Arabidopsis thaliana: one gene and its partner. The protein of the gene in region 2 interacts with the protein of the main gene of each other region in a pairwise test. Each region holds a gene or a part of one and is shown on either strand. Other genes may lie near its edges.

Region 1 (7,422 bases), on a different chromosome or scaffold from region 2:
TGGTCTATTCATATATGGCCAAGCAATTTCTTCTCTATGTCATTTAAATAAACTTTTCCAAGGATGTTTTGTTCCATATTGTTTGGTTTCAGAGGCTCAAAGACTTATTGACTTTCTTGAGCTTAAACCTTAGCAAACCAAGACTGAAGTAGTTTGATGCAAAACAGAGTCCAACACATGGAAATGAAACATAATATATGCAGAGAAAAGAACAGAGACTTTGATAGGAGAAAGGTGAGAAAGGAAGAGAGAACACACATAATATTTATGCTAAAGTCTGGGCCGAGTCACATCTCGGAATCCACTAGAATAAGCAAGTTACAAGAGGGAATTCCACAGAGAAAGAGTCTCACACTTGAGATCTCTTCTCTGTTACACTCTCAAGAGAAAAACCAAAGATTACACCTTTTTAATGGCTATCTCTCTCTCTTGCTTGCTTTCTACATTGTATCTCTCTCTTGCTCATTTCCCTTTGCCACGTTCACAGCATAGCTTCATCTTATATATACATGTGAGAACACCTTAGATCTAGTGCTTCTCCAAAACGCTCCACTTTGAATTCACATAAAGACAAATTGTCCTTTCTTGGCGCAAAAGCATGACTCAACCATAGTTTGTTTACACTTAACTATAGTTTCATTTTCTTCGCATATAAAATCCACACATATGAATATGATATAAGAAATGGAGATGAAAGAAGAAGCTCCACAACATTCATATAAAGTCAGAAAATGTCAGCCAAAACATTCTCTTATTCACAGAGAGATGATGTCGTTTGGTAGAATACTGTAATACACAAAAATAAAGTTTTAAGTTCATTTACAAGAAGAAAGGCTTATATCCCATTGTTTATCGATCGATCCCTTCGATCTTGTCTTCCACCTGCGAGTACAATTCCTTGAGCTTCTCTATGTTTTCAGCGGAAGTGTCCCAGTAGCCACGACCATTGGCCTCCAAGAAAGTCTGAAGCATTTTCCTGAAGGAGTTGGGATTGGTGTTCATGAGACGGTTCAGCATCTCCTCGTCTTGGATGAAAGTTGAGTTGGCCTCCTCGTAGACCCAATTGTCTACTTGACCTGACGTTGCACTCCATCCCACAGTGTTGGACAGTCTCTTCTCTATCTCACGAACTCCTTCATATCCACTTGACATCATTCCTTCGTACCACTTTGGATTCAGCAGCTTTGTTCTTGCGTCCAGCCTCACTGTCTCAGATAGTGTCCTCACCTGCCAGATTCAACAAATACCTTAAGGAATGTGTTCTTGCAAGGTAAAACTGATCCCATATATGAACTACAAAGAAAATTCACTCACCTGCGCGTTTGCAGTTGTAGTGTCAGCAATGTAAGAGCTTGGTTTCTTCTTATCCTTCCTCAAACTCTGAACTAGATTTGTAGGGTCAGAATCGAAGTAGTGGCTCACATCAGTCAAAGAAATCTCTGAAGAATCCAGGTTCTGGAAGGTGACTTCTGCAGTGCTAAGAGCCATCTCAAAGACCTGCTTCTTCTCAGCCATTCCTGCTCCAGGAGCATCACTATCAAACGCAAACGATTTGCGGCTCAAGTACATGTCCTGAAGCTGTTTCTCATCGTTCCATGACGAGTTTTCAACAGCAAGACTGATGTTGGCTGAGTATGACCCTGAAGCGTTTGAGAAAACTCTTGTCGCTGCCTCTCTAATATCAATGCCAAGCGCCTCTGCTTGTTCCAACGCGTGTTTCCTTACAAAATTTTGCTCTACAGGCTCATCTAGCTCCGCCACCATCTTGATAGCTCGGTCAAGAAGGTTCATCTGTCAAGATAATTCAAGGAAGAAACACCATGAGAGACCAACCAACAAGAATCTAAATGAAAGAAGAGAGAAAGCTTTTATCTGGTTACCTGGTTGATAAAGAGATCACGGAAGACCCCTGAGCAGTTAACAACTACATCGATCCTCGGCCTTCCTAGTTCTTCTAAGCTCACAGGCTCGACACGGTTCACTCTTCCAAAAGTATCAGCAATTGGTCTCACACCAATCATCCAAAGAACCTGCCCAAGAGACTCCCCATATGTTTTGATGTTGTCAGTTCCCCAAAGAACAAGCGCGATTGTCTCGGGATATTTCCCTTCGTTTTCGAGCTTCTGTCTCTCTACCAACCTCTCAACCACAATCTTGGCACTTGCCATTGCTGCTGTTGTGGGAATAGCCTGAGGATCTAAGGCATGGATGTTTTTACCGGTTGGTAAGACCTTTGGGTTTCTGATGGGATCACCTCCGGGGCCAGGCTCGACGTACTTGCCTTCCAAAGCTTGCATTAGACTCCCTAGTTCGTTGTCCATGACCACCAACTTCAGGCACTCTCCAAGGAAACCAAACACTGTTCTGAGCTTATCTCTGTTCGCCCTGTAGAACTTGGTGTTGGACAAATACTCAACCCATGGCTCATTGATTCCAAACCCAAGAAGCGAGGTAAGCTTGTCAGACACATCCACCACCTGTCCTTTGCTATTTGTTGTTTTTTCCACAAAGGCGGAAACAGCGCCACGTGAGGCATCAGTGATCTCTTTGAGAAGCTCTACATCGCTCAAGATACCCTTGTCGCTTCCTCTGTAAACATCCTCTATCTCCCTTCCAACACACTCAGCTAATATAGAAGGAAGAGCTGAAATCTCATCCTCCGGACGATCTAGAGCAGCAATGTTGACCAGTGTGGCCACAGCTTCCATGGCGGATGGAGGCTCTCCAATGACGTGAAGCCCGCACGGCAAAAGCCTTGATTCAATCTCCATAATCTTGGAATAAACTTTCCCAACCACAGAATCTCTGTCTTTAGGTGACAACTCCAAGCCTTCATCTGGAAGATCCACATCCTTATCAAGATTACATTGCTTAGCTGTGCTGATGATGGAACTGACGATCTGTGGACCTCTCCCCGTGTCCTTCAGAGACTGATAGGACGATATCAGCTCACTCAACTGCTTCAGCCCTTTGTATAGACCAGCATTCTCAGCTGGAGGAGTCAAATAACTGATGGTGTTGGCATAACTTCTCCTCTTTGCAATGGTAGCTTCAGAGGGATTGTTAGCTGCATAATAGTAGACATTGGGAATGTTCCCGATAAGACTGTCGGGAAAACAAGCATCACTCATTCCCACTTGCTTCCCGGGCATAAACTCGAGAGAACCATGTGTTCCAAAATGAAGAACAGCATCAGCTTTGAAGATCTTTTCTACATAAGAGTAGTAAGCAGCAAAACCGTGATGAGGACTTGCTGACTTGGAGAAAAGCAGCCTCATGGGATCACCTTCATACCCAAATGTTGGTTGCACTCCGATGAAAACATTACCGTACGCTTTTCCATAGACAAGAAGGTTCTCTCCATCTGAGTTAAGGTTCCCCGGAGGTTTCCCCCAGTTTTCTTCCAGGGCATTTGCATAAGGAGTGAGGTCTTGGTACTCACGGACTCCCATTTTGTAAGCTACATTGAGGTTAGGGCTGCTGAACTGAGCCTCCTTGTCATGAATGATTTCTTCAATAAGAGTCTCTGCATTCTCAGGAAGGCCTTCAACATTGTAGCCATCTCTCTTGAGGTCTCTTAACACCGAGAAGATGGAAGCAAACACATTGAGGTAAGCTGCAGTCCCTACATTACCTTTATCAGGTGGGAAACTGAAAACAGTGATTGCCAGCTTCTTCTCTGCCTGCAATGAGCCAGAGTTGATTCATGAGAACATACATTACATTCTTGAGAAAGTCATGAAGGAATGTGATTTCACTAAGGATGAGTGGTAATACAATACCTTAGTTTTTCTTTTGAGCTCACCCCATCGAATCGCTCTGATGCAGAGTTGCTCCACTCTCTTGTGGAGAGCATGTGACTTCCCTGCAGCAATTGGTAAACCACCTCCATAAGAAAACATTCCCACTCTTGCGTAATGACAATCATGAAAAATGCAATATGGTCATAAGTGGACTAACCTGTTCTAGGGTCACGACCAGCGAAAACGATTGGCTCCATCGCTCCATCAAGCTCAGGGAGGGCAACCTGCAGAGCCACCTGGATGGGATGCAGACCAAGTGTGCTGTTTAGCCATTCCTCTGTCGTCTGGAACACCAGTGGTACTGCCACAAGGTAAGGAACATCGAGCTTTTTCAGGGCTTCGATAGCCCTGGGATGATCCTGCCTTGCAGGTCCACCAACAAGAGCAAAACCAGTCAAGGAGACAGCAGAGTTTACGATGGGCTGTTTCGACACCGGGTCTACGAAATATTTCTCTACTGGACCAGAGAAATCCAACCCTCCTGCGAATATAGGAACGACCTTAGCACCTCTAGCCTCAAGCTCCATGATAACAGCCACATAGTGACTATCATCACCAGTCACAATGTGACTCCTCTGCAAGACTAAACCGACAACCGTTGCATCTTTCCTCTTGAGTGAGTCATTGGTGTCCCTTCTAGTGTCATACCAGTTCCAGTACTCCTTCACATCATCGTACATGGTTGGAGCAAGTGGATGCCAAATTCCAGTATCCAAGAACAAAACCGGATCCGAATACTCGATTTTGACACCTTTCAAAGCCGGAACATAAGATCCAGAAATCATCTTAACAAAATTCTGAAGATTATCAGGAGAGCCTCCAAGCCAAAACTGTAAACTCAAGATGTAGAGACGAGCATCTTGAGCCTTGTCACTAGGTAAGTACTTCAAAACCTTAGGCAAAGTCCTAACAAGCTTCAACATACTATCGGCAAAACCAGCAGAGCCTTGTTTCTTCCTCTTGAAGAGTTGGAAAAACGGAGACTTTGACTGACCCAATTGAGACATACTAAAAGATCCAAGCTTGTTCAGTCTCATTACCTCAGGCATTGAAGGGAAGACAAGAACTGCGTCCATCCTGTCTCTCTCCTTCTCCACCGCATCCTTAACTTTAATCGCCAATTCCTCGACGAAGATCAGAGAACCAATGAAGATGTTGGCGTCTTTAAGGTCTTCGCAGAAGTTGTTGTAAGTGTTCTTGTCTCTAAGCTCCTCGACCAAGTATCCAACCACTTCGTAGGATGCGAATCTCGAAGTCTTGTTGAGAGATTGCACGGCTTCACTGAGAGAAGACTGGTACTGAGCCTCGAGGACGACGTAGACGATTTTCACCGTCGGAACGTTGTCTCTCTTGATCGGAACTATACGACGGACCTCCGGGTTCGTCTGTGTGAAGAGGCCGTTTCCAGATACAGCAGATTTCACCTTGAAGAAAGATTTGGCTGGTTTGGTTGATCTGTGTTTCTTCCGGAGGAAAGAATGTTTGGTACTGTTAGTGAGCGAAGAGAGATGCTCTGCTTTAGAAGTGGATAGAGTGAATGGAGAATACACAAGCGAAGCCATTTTGCGGCTGCTGGATTCTCCAAACGTTGAATTCGAAGAGGAGAGGATAGGAGAAGAGATGAATCGTTTTTTGTTGGTTGTCTCTTACACTTTTTGAGCTCCAAGTGGGAGTTTATGATTCTCTCATCGGTAAACGCTTCGGACCAAGGAACTAAAAAAGAAGCGTTGGTTTTGAAGGTAAGTGGTGAGAGGGAAGGACACGTGGACGAATAGTTACGGAAGAAGGGAGAGTCTACTTGTGAGGTTGAGTTTTGTCGGATGTATATCCGCTTGGGACAATGAGATGGACTTTGCTGGCCTCTGATTGGCTCATTGAGATTTCTATTCATATTTTCATGGTTTGGGAGTGTGGATATTGAGTGTCTTATTTTCTTTACTTATTTGACAAGTATTTTTATGTTGCTCTCTTGAAGATCGTATTTGCGGTTTCAGCCATGTAAAAGATTCTTTTCCGATGACGACACTTTTACTAGGCATATTCGTCGGGTAGCCGGTTTAATCCGGTCTAGATTTTGTATAATTTTTGGTTCAGCTAGGTCTGGTTTGATATTTTTCTACTTATTTCTTAAAAACTGGCTTTAATCTTTTAAGGTAAACTCAGGATTTTTCTTTGAAAACGAAATTTGAAATATCAGACTCATAACAATTGTAACAACAAATGTAAAAGTTAAAACACTCTAAAATGTACTCAAAATTTTGATCATCATCATCACTATTTTTTTTATAATAAATGGATGTAAAAACTTATCATGTTTCAATATTTAAAACTTTTTTTTTTTTCAATATTTAAAACTTACATAAAATATATAATTAAAAGAAAGTTTATGAATTAGAATATTAAGTTATATGTAATTAAATGGAGCAATACATGTAGCCTACTAGTATTGTTGTTGCATGAGTTGCATCATATTCGAAGATATACAATATGTTTTTTTGATATAAGAGTACCGCTTCATTCTCTTTTTTTTTTTTGTCATTTCCCAAGTGTAATATTGTTATTAATACATGGGCTATACTAAAAGCCCCACGAAAAGTTTACTGAACTATTTGAGGCCCAACAAGAGCCTATCGGATTAACGCCTACTGCAGAAGAAAATCTGTCTGCACTCCACCCAAGAAAACGCAGACTAATTAATGAAATCAACGAAACGGATAGGTCGGGTCTAAGGTTGACCATGAACCGCAACCTGAACCAGGAGCAAAGTGGTCAAGTTTTGCCATCCGGTCCGAGTCCCTTGGAGGAATAATACCAGAACAGAAAAAAACAGAAAAGTCGACAATAAACAAAAGAGACAAATTTGATTTGATTGGTTCCAGAAATTCGCAGAGAAACAGCTCTTTGTCTCTCTCGACTGATCTAACAATCCCTAATCTGTGTTCTAAATTCCTGGACGAGATTTGACAAAGTCCGTATAGCTTAACCTGGTTTAATTTCAAGTGACAGATATGCCCCTTATTCATCGGAAAAAGCCGACGGAGAAACCATCGACGCCGCCATCTGAAGAGGTGGTGCACGATGAGGATTCGCAAAAGAAACCACACGAATCTTCCAAATCCCACCATAAGAAATCGAACGGAGGAGGGAAGTGGTCGTGCATCGATTCTTGTTGTTGGTTCATTGGGTGTGTGTGTGTAACCTGGTGGTTTCTTCTCTTCCTTTACAACGCAATGCCTGCGAGCTTCCCTCAGTATGTAACGGAGCGAATCACGGGTCCTTTGCCTGACCCGCCCGGTGTTAAGCTCAAAAAAGAAGGTCTTAAGGCGAAACATCCTGTTGTCTTCATTCCTGGGATTGTCACCGGTGGGCTCGAGCTTTGGGAAGGCAAACAATGCGCTGATGGTTTATTTAGAAAACGTTTGTGGGGTGGAACTTTTGGTGAAGTCTACAAAAGGTGAGCTCAACAATTCTCACTCTTCCTTTATATTGGGATTTGGATTGGATCTGATGAGATCACGCACTTGTTGCTTCTTCAACATCACTCAAACTTTAATTCCATGTTTGTCTGTCTTACTCTTTACTTTTTTTTTTTTTTGATGTGAAACGCTATTTTCTTAAG
Region 2 (4,441 bases):
ATCGCTCAACAAGTGCAGAGATCAGTGAATTGTTTAAACTCATTGGACCGATTTTGCGAAAGTAACCGAAACCAGCTTTGTCCACGAGGTTAATTTGTTCATCAGTGAGTTTCCATTGATGTAGCAATGAAGTGTGTTCTTGACAACGAAGTAGACCTCGTTCCTAAGGTAAGTAAGGGGAAATAAGATTAACCCTAAATTCAAAATCTGAAATTTAGCAAGGGAATTAAGAAAAAAACCTGTCCTTCCCAAACAGCAGAAGAAACATGGAGGTCTTGCTCGTATAGGACAGATGGATCAACTGGTCCGACATCAATATCCATGTCGATAACTTACTCAAAATCAGCGAAAACTAAGATTACATAAACAAATTTTTGTCAAATTCTCAAAACACGAAACTTTTGATTCTTCAATTTGGGACTAAACACAGATGAAGAAGAAGAAGAAGTTGGGATTGGAAGCTAACCGTAACCTAATTTGGACTCGGTTCATAATTTTTCTTCTTGGCTTTTTATAGCTGTACCGGTTATTTTGGTTTGGTTCTCTTAAACCGACTCTGTTTTTCGTGGTTTTACTCTGTTTCCGGGTTTCTCTGTTTCTTTTATGTCTGTAATGGCATCACATTCTTCTCTAATGGAAGTTAATACAAACAACTGAACAAGATAACATTGGAAGATACATAAACTGTCGAAGCAGCGTCAATCTACCATACTTACACCGAGCTATAACAAAACTCTTTCAACATAAGATAAAATGGGGGTGACCCTTTTTGGATACTTAGATTTGATGTAATTATATACACACACATTAAAATTGACATCTATGCCTCCTAATCAAGATCAAACAAATCTTTACCTTTTTACTAGGAATGAGCAACAAAATAGAACAAAACAGAAATATACATGTTCTAGAGAACTTTCATGTTCTTGAATGCTCTATCAATCTCCCGGAAATAGCAGTCGCAAGAGCTGCAGTGAACTTAGGATCTTTGGTCAACGAAGAAGCCATTTGTTGCACCAAAACCTCTTGAATCGTCCCTCTCTCTTTCTTTTCCTCAACTGGTTCAAGCCCACCTTGAACTAGATCAAGTTTCACTGTCCTGGACACACTTGCATGTGGTCCGGTGTGGTTATGTGTCCCTTCGTAAGTGGCTACCAAGAAAGATGGATCTTCTGCACTTCGTTGCACCTAAACAAGCGCACACACAACTAGGGAATTTAATCAGACAGCAAGATGATATCGAAGAACTCTTTAACAAAGTTTAAACCAAAGTACCTTCTTCTTGACTAGACAAGACGGTGAAAACGAGCATCTGAAGTAAGCTCTAGGAGATGGATTATCTCTCGTAATCTTTTGCCCGTATTTCCTCCATTGATATCCATCTTTCACAGTCTACAAGTAACGTATATCCACAAAACATTCGTTAACAAATCAATACACTCAAAGAACGATACTTGTAGTAGAAATCTCCTTACCAAGCTTGTGTCAGACTTCTCAGCAGCAAAGTAAGCGGTTGAAACCGTCGCTTTATCGTTGGTGATGTTCTCGATTGGTCCGAGACTGAGTCCAATTGGGGAGCTAACAAACTCATCAAGTTCTTGTTTTCGTTTCCCCGTTAGCTGTTTGTTCTGAAAGTTAACACTTTCAGGACTCTTTCGACTCTGCAACTCCTCCATAAGATTATTAAGAGCATAGTACTTCTCACAGACTCTTGCTAACATTTCGGTTAGCTTCTTGTTCTCCGAATTAACCCGGTTTATTTCATCTTGTAGCATATTTCTCTTCTGTGTAAAATGAAAATCACCATTACCAAACTAAGCTGTAAGACAAAGCTTTGATTTGTTCAACTTTTGAGCATCACCGATCTAAACAAACTATTCAATGTCTAAATCAGATATGAGAACTTGATCAACCTAATCCATTCACTCATAGTCAAAAATTTTGAGGTCAAAGTATTGCACACCAAAGTGTTCGATGAAAGAACTAACCTCATCTTTCACTAACCATTTCTTCTCTACAACTTTAGAAGCTGAAGCCGAGACTTCTCTTTTCTAAATCAGGCAATAAAATATATATGAACACCACGAATAATCACCACAACCTCGAAAATTGAAGTGAAATTTTCGAAGAAATTGAAAAACTCACCGGAAGTTTACCGGAGAAATGAAGGTCGAACGGATTGGTGTTGGGATCATAGTCCATAAATTTAGGTTCACAGGAGCCAATTTAATGTAACGTGAGATTATAGCGAAGACCAAATTCATAATTGCTAAGAGATTTGGTCTCCTTTGGTTTTATAGTAACTAGTAAGTGGAGAGAGTGTAATAACTTGTCAATTATGAGAAGGTTGACGATTTGGGTGGAAAATGAGGGTCTCCTTTCTAATTCTAAAAAAATTATTATAAATCTTTTACAATTCTTGTAAATTCTCATAAACTTTCTTTAAAACCTTTAAAAGTTTTTAAAACTCTTTGTAAAATCGTTTTAAAACTTTTATTAAATCTTTTAAAAACTTTTGTAAAATTTTTATAAAATCTTTTGTAAATCATTTTAAAAACATTTATAAAATCCTTGTGTGTAATTCTAATTGTGCCAAAATTATAATGTGTATTATGCATATGATAGTGATTGAACATAGAAACAAAAATATTGGAAAAAAACAATACTAATGAAATGTGTAAACAAAAATTGCAAGAAAACTATTTAATTTAATACGTATTGACAAAAAGCAAGTTGTGTTTAATACGTTGGATTAAATTTGTTGGCTTGCATCGTAAATACTAAATGCGTGTCCTAAAAAATTAAAAAGGTTAGGTGTTAAATCGTAGTCGAATTGTTATGTTTTGTTGTAATCGGAGAAAACAAGTGTAAAGATGGATCAAAAATCAACAATTTCGGCGGATGTCCCATGTCGAAGAAAAATGAGTACTTTACATTAAGTTGCATTGTAAGATCCAGACCAACTTTCGCTTGACTTGACCCATTGACTATGCCCTGGAGGTTGGCATGTTTAATTTTGTCTCATATTTTTGTTTACTTAATCCTACCTACATTTAGTTGCATTAGTTAATTATGTCAGCTAGGCAAAATAAGATTTCGTTTCCCTTTTTTTTATGTTCATTAAGTTTGAAAGAAAATCATTATTTTTTGTTTTGTCATCTTTTTTATTAATATTATAAAATAAAAATATATTTTCCGATCTTACAAAACCGGCAGAAAACAAAGATATCTTCGAAAACATAGTTTAAAAGAGATAATCAAAGCTCCAAAAGAAAGAGAAAACACGTATTAAGATATAAACTATGGAAACAGAGGCTTAAGAAGAAAAGCTCATAAACACTAAACTGTATAAAATCAAGAACTCATTAAACAAAGAAAAAATGTTGTAAATAAACTAGTTGCAGGATTAGAATTTTCATACTATAAGCCAACAATCTCAAAACTTGAGTTGATAAATTTAGACACAACCATTATTCGAATTGTCAAGTTGGTTAGGGATGTGAGGAAAGGAACAGAAATTTGAATCCTATTCTTGAAACAGCAGCAAACCAATTTCGGGCTCTATAATAAAGTCATACTATGAATATTACAAGAACTTGCTATTTTTGGAAATATAGAGAGCTTTGGGTCCATACTCGATTTCCCAGAATTTGACACAAAATTTCAAAATATAAATAAAAATACAAGTTGGGGTGTCAAAACTTCTAACTCGGATTAACGAGTCTTGTGTGGTTTAGAGACTTTCTTCTTTCGCTTCTTGACAGATTTGGGTGTCTTCGTCTTCCTAGACTCTCGTTTCTCCTCTTTCACTTTCTTCTTGTGCTCTTTCCTTGCAGCTTTCTTGTCTTCATGACCCAATTCTTCTTCACTCTCTTCTTCCTCACTTCCTTCTTCACTTTCTCCGTCTTCTTCTTCCTCTCCTTCCTCTTCTTTCTCTTCATCATTCACCTCTATTTTCTGCTCTTCTATTTTAGGAAGAGCATCCTTAAGCCCCGTTATCGTTTGGTATAGCATGTCTCCTGTGTCCTGCCCGCTTGTTATCTTAGCCACGTCAGCCTCAGGGTTGTTCACAGCATCCAGAGATTTCGGTATGTATGACTGAACATCAATAACAAACCAGTAAGATTAAGATTATTCTACAGACAACTTCACATATCAGTTCACACAACTGGATACACTCTTAACTAACCTTCATGAATACTGAATCCGCGATTTCATCCTCTACGGATATCTCTCCTCGCTCTATAACTTTTCGTTGGACCTGCCCATTGTTACATAATTCATTAATTTAAAGCTGCCCACTGATTCAATGGACAATCCATATAAAAAGTCATACATTACCTCTTCCAAATAGCTATCAACATTTTCGTCTGTAATTGCCGGGTCAACTATGAAGTCAAATAGCTCCCGTATTGTCATGACAGCCACACCATGTTTTTTG

What was found.
Region 1: the proteins of WRKY60 (region 2) and GUN5 interact in a two-hybrid assay, tested with the Arabidopsis thaliana proteins (one study listed by BioGRID).

What each region holds. Positions count from the first base shown.
Region 1 is NC_003076.8:4,386,718-4,394,139, forward strand, and holds GUN5 (magnesium-chelatase subunit chlH, chloroplast, putative / Mg-protoporphyrin IX chelatase, putative (CHLH)), read right to left. Parts: upstream 5,713-7,422; 5' UTR 5,366-5,712; coding exon 3,961-5,365; intron 3,866-3,960; coding exon 3,783-3,865; intron 3,684-3,782; coding exon 1,881-3,683; intron 1,792-1,880; coding exon 1,315-1,791; coding exon of another isoform or gene 1,311-1,314; intron 1,228-1,310; coding exon 850-1,227; 3' UTR 590-849; downstream 1-589. Other genes in the region: PDAT (phospholipid:diacylglycerol acyltransferase), read left to right, coding at 6,812-7,257.
Region 2 is NC_003071.7:10,627,573-10,632,013, reverse strand, and holds WRKY60 (WRKY DNA-binding protein 60), read right to left. Parts: upstream 2,353-4,441; 5' UTR 2,203-2,352; coding exon 2,146-2,202; exon of another isoform or gene 2,052-2,145; coding exon 1,989-2,051; exon of another isoform or gene 1,785-1,988; coding exon 1,476-1,784; intron 1,393-1,475; coding exon 1,276-1,392; intron 1,189-1,275; coding exon 919-1,188; 3' UTR 601-918; downstream 1-600. Other genes in the region: AT2G25010 (Aminotransferase-like, plant mobile domain family protein), read right to left, coding at 1-163, 240-323; AT2G24990 (Serine/threonine-protein kinase Rio1), read right to left, coding at 3,715-4,098, 4,190-4,261, 4,342-4,441. UniProt on the Arabidopsis thaliana protein: Transcription factor. Interacts specifically with the W box (5'-(T)TGAC[CT]-3'), a frequently occurring elicitor-responsive cis-acting element.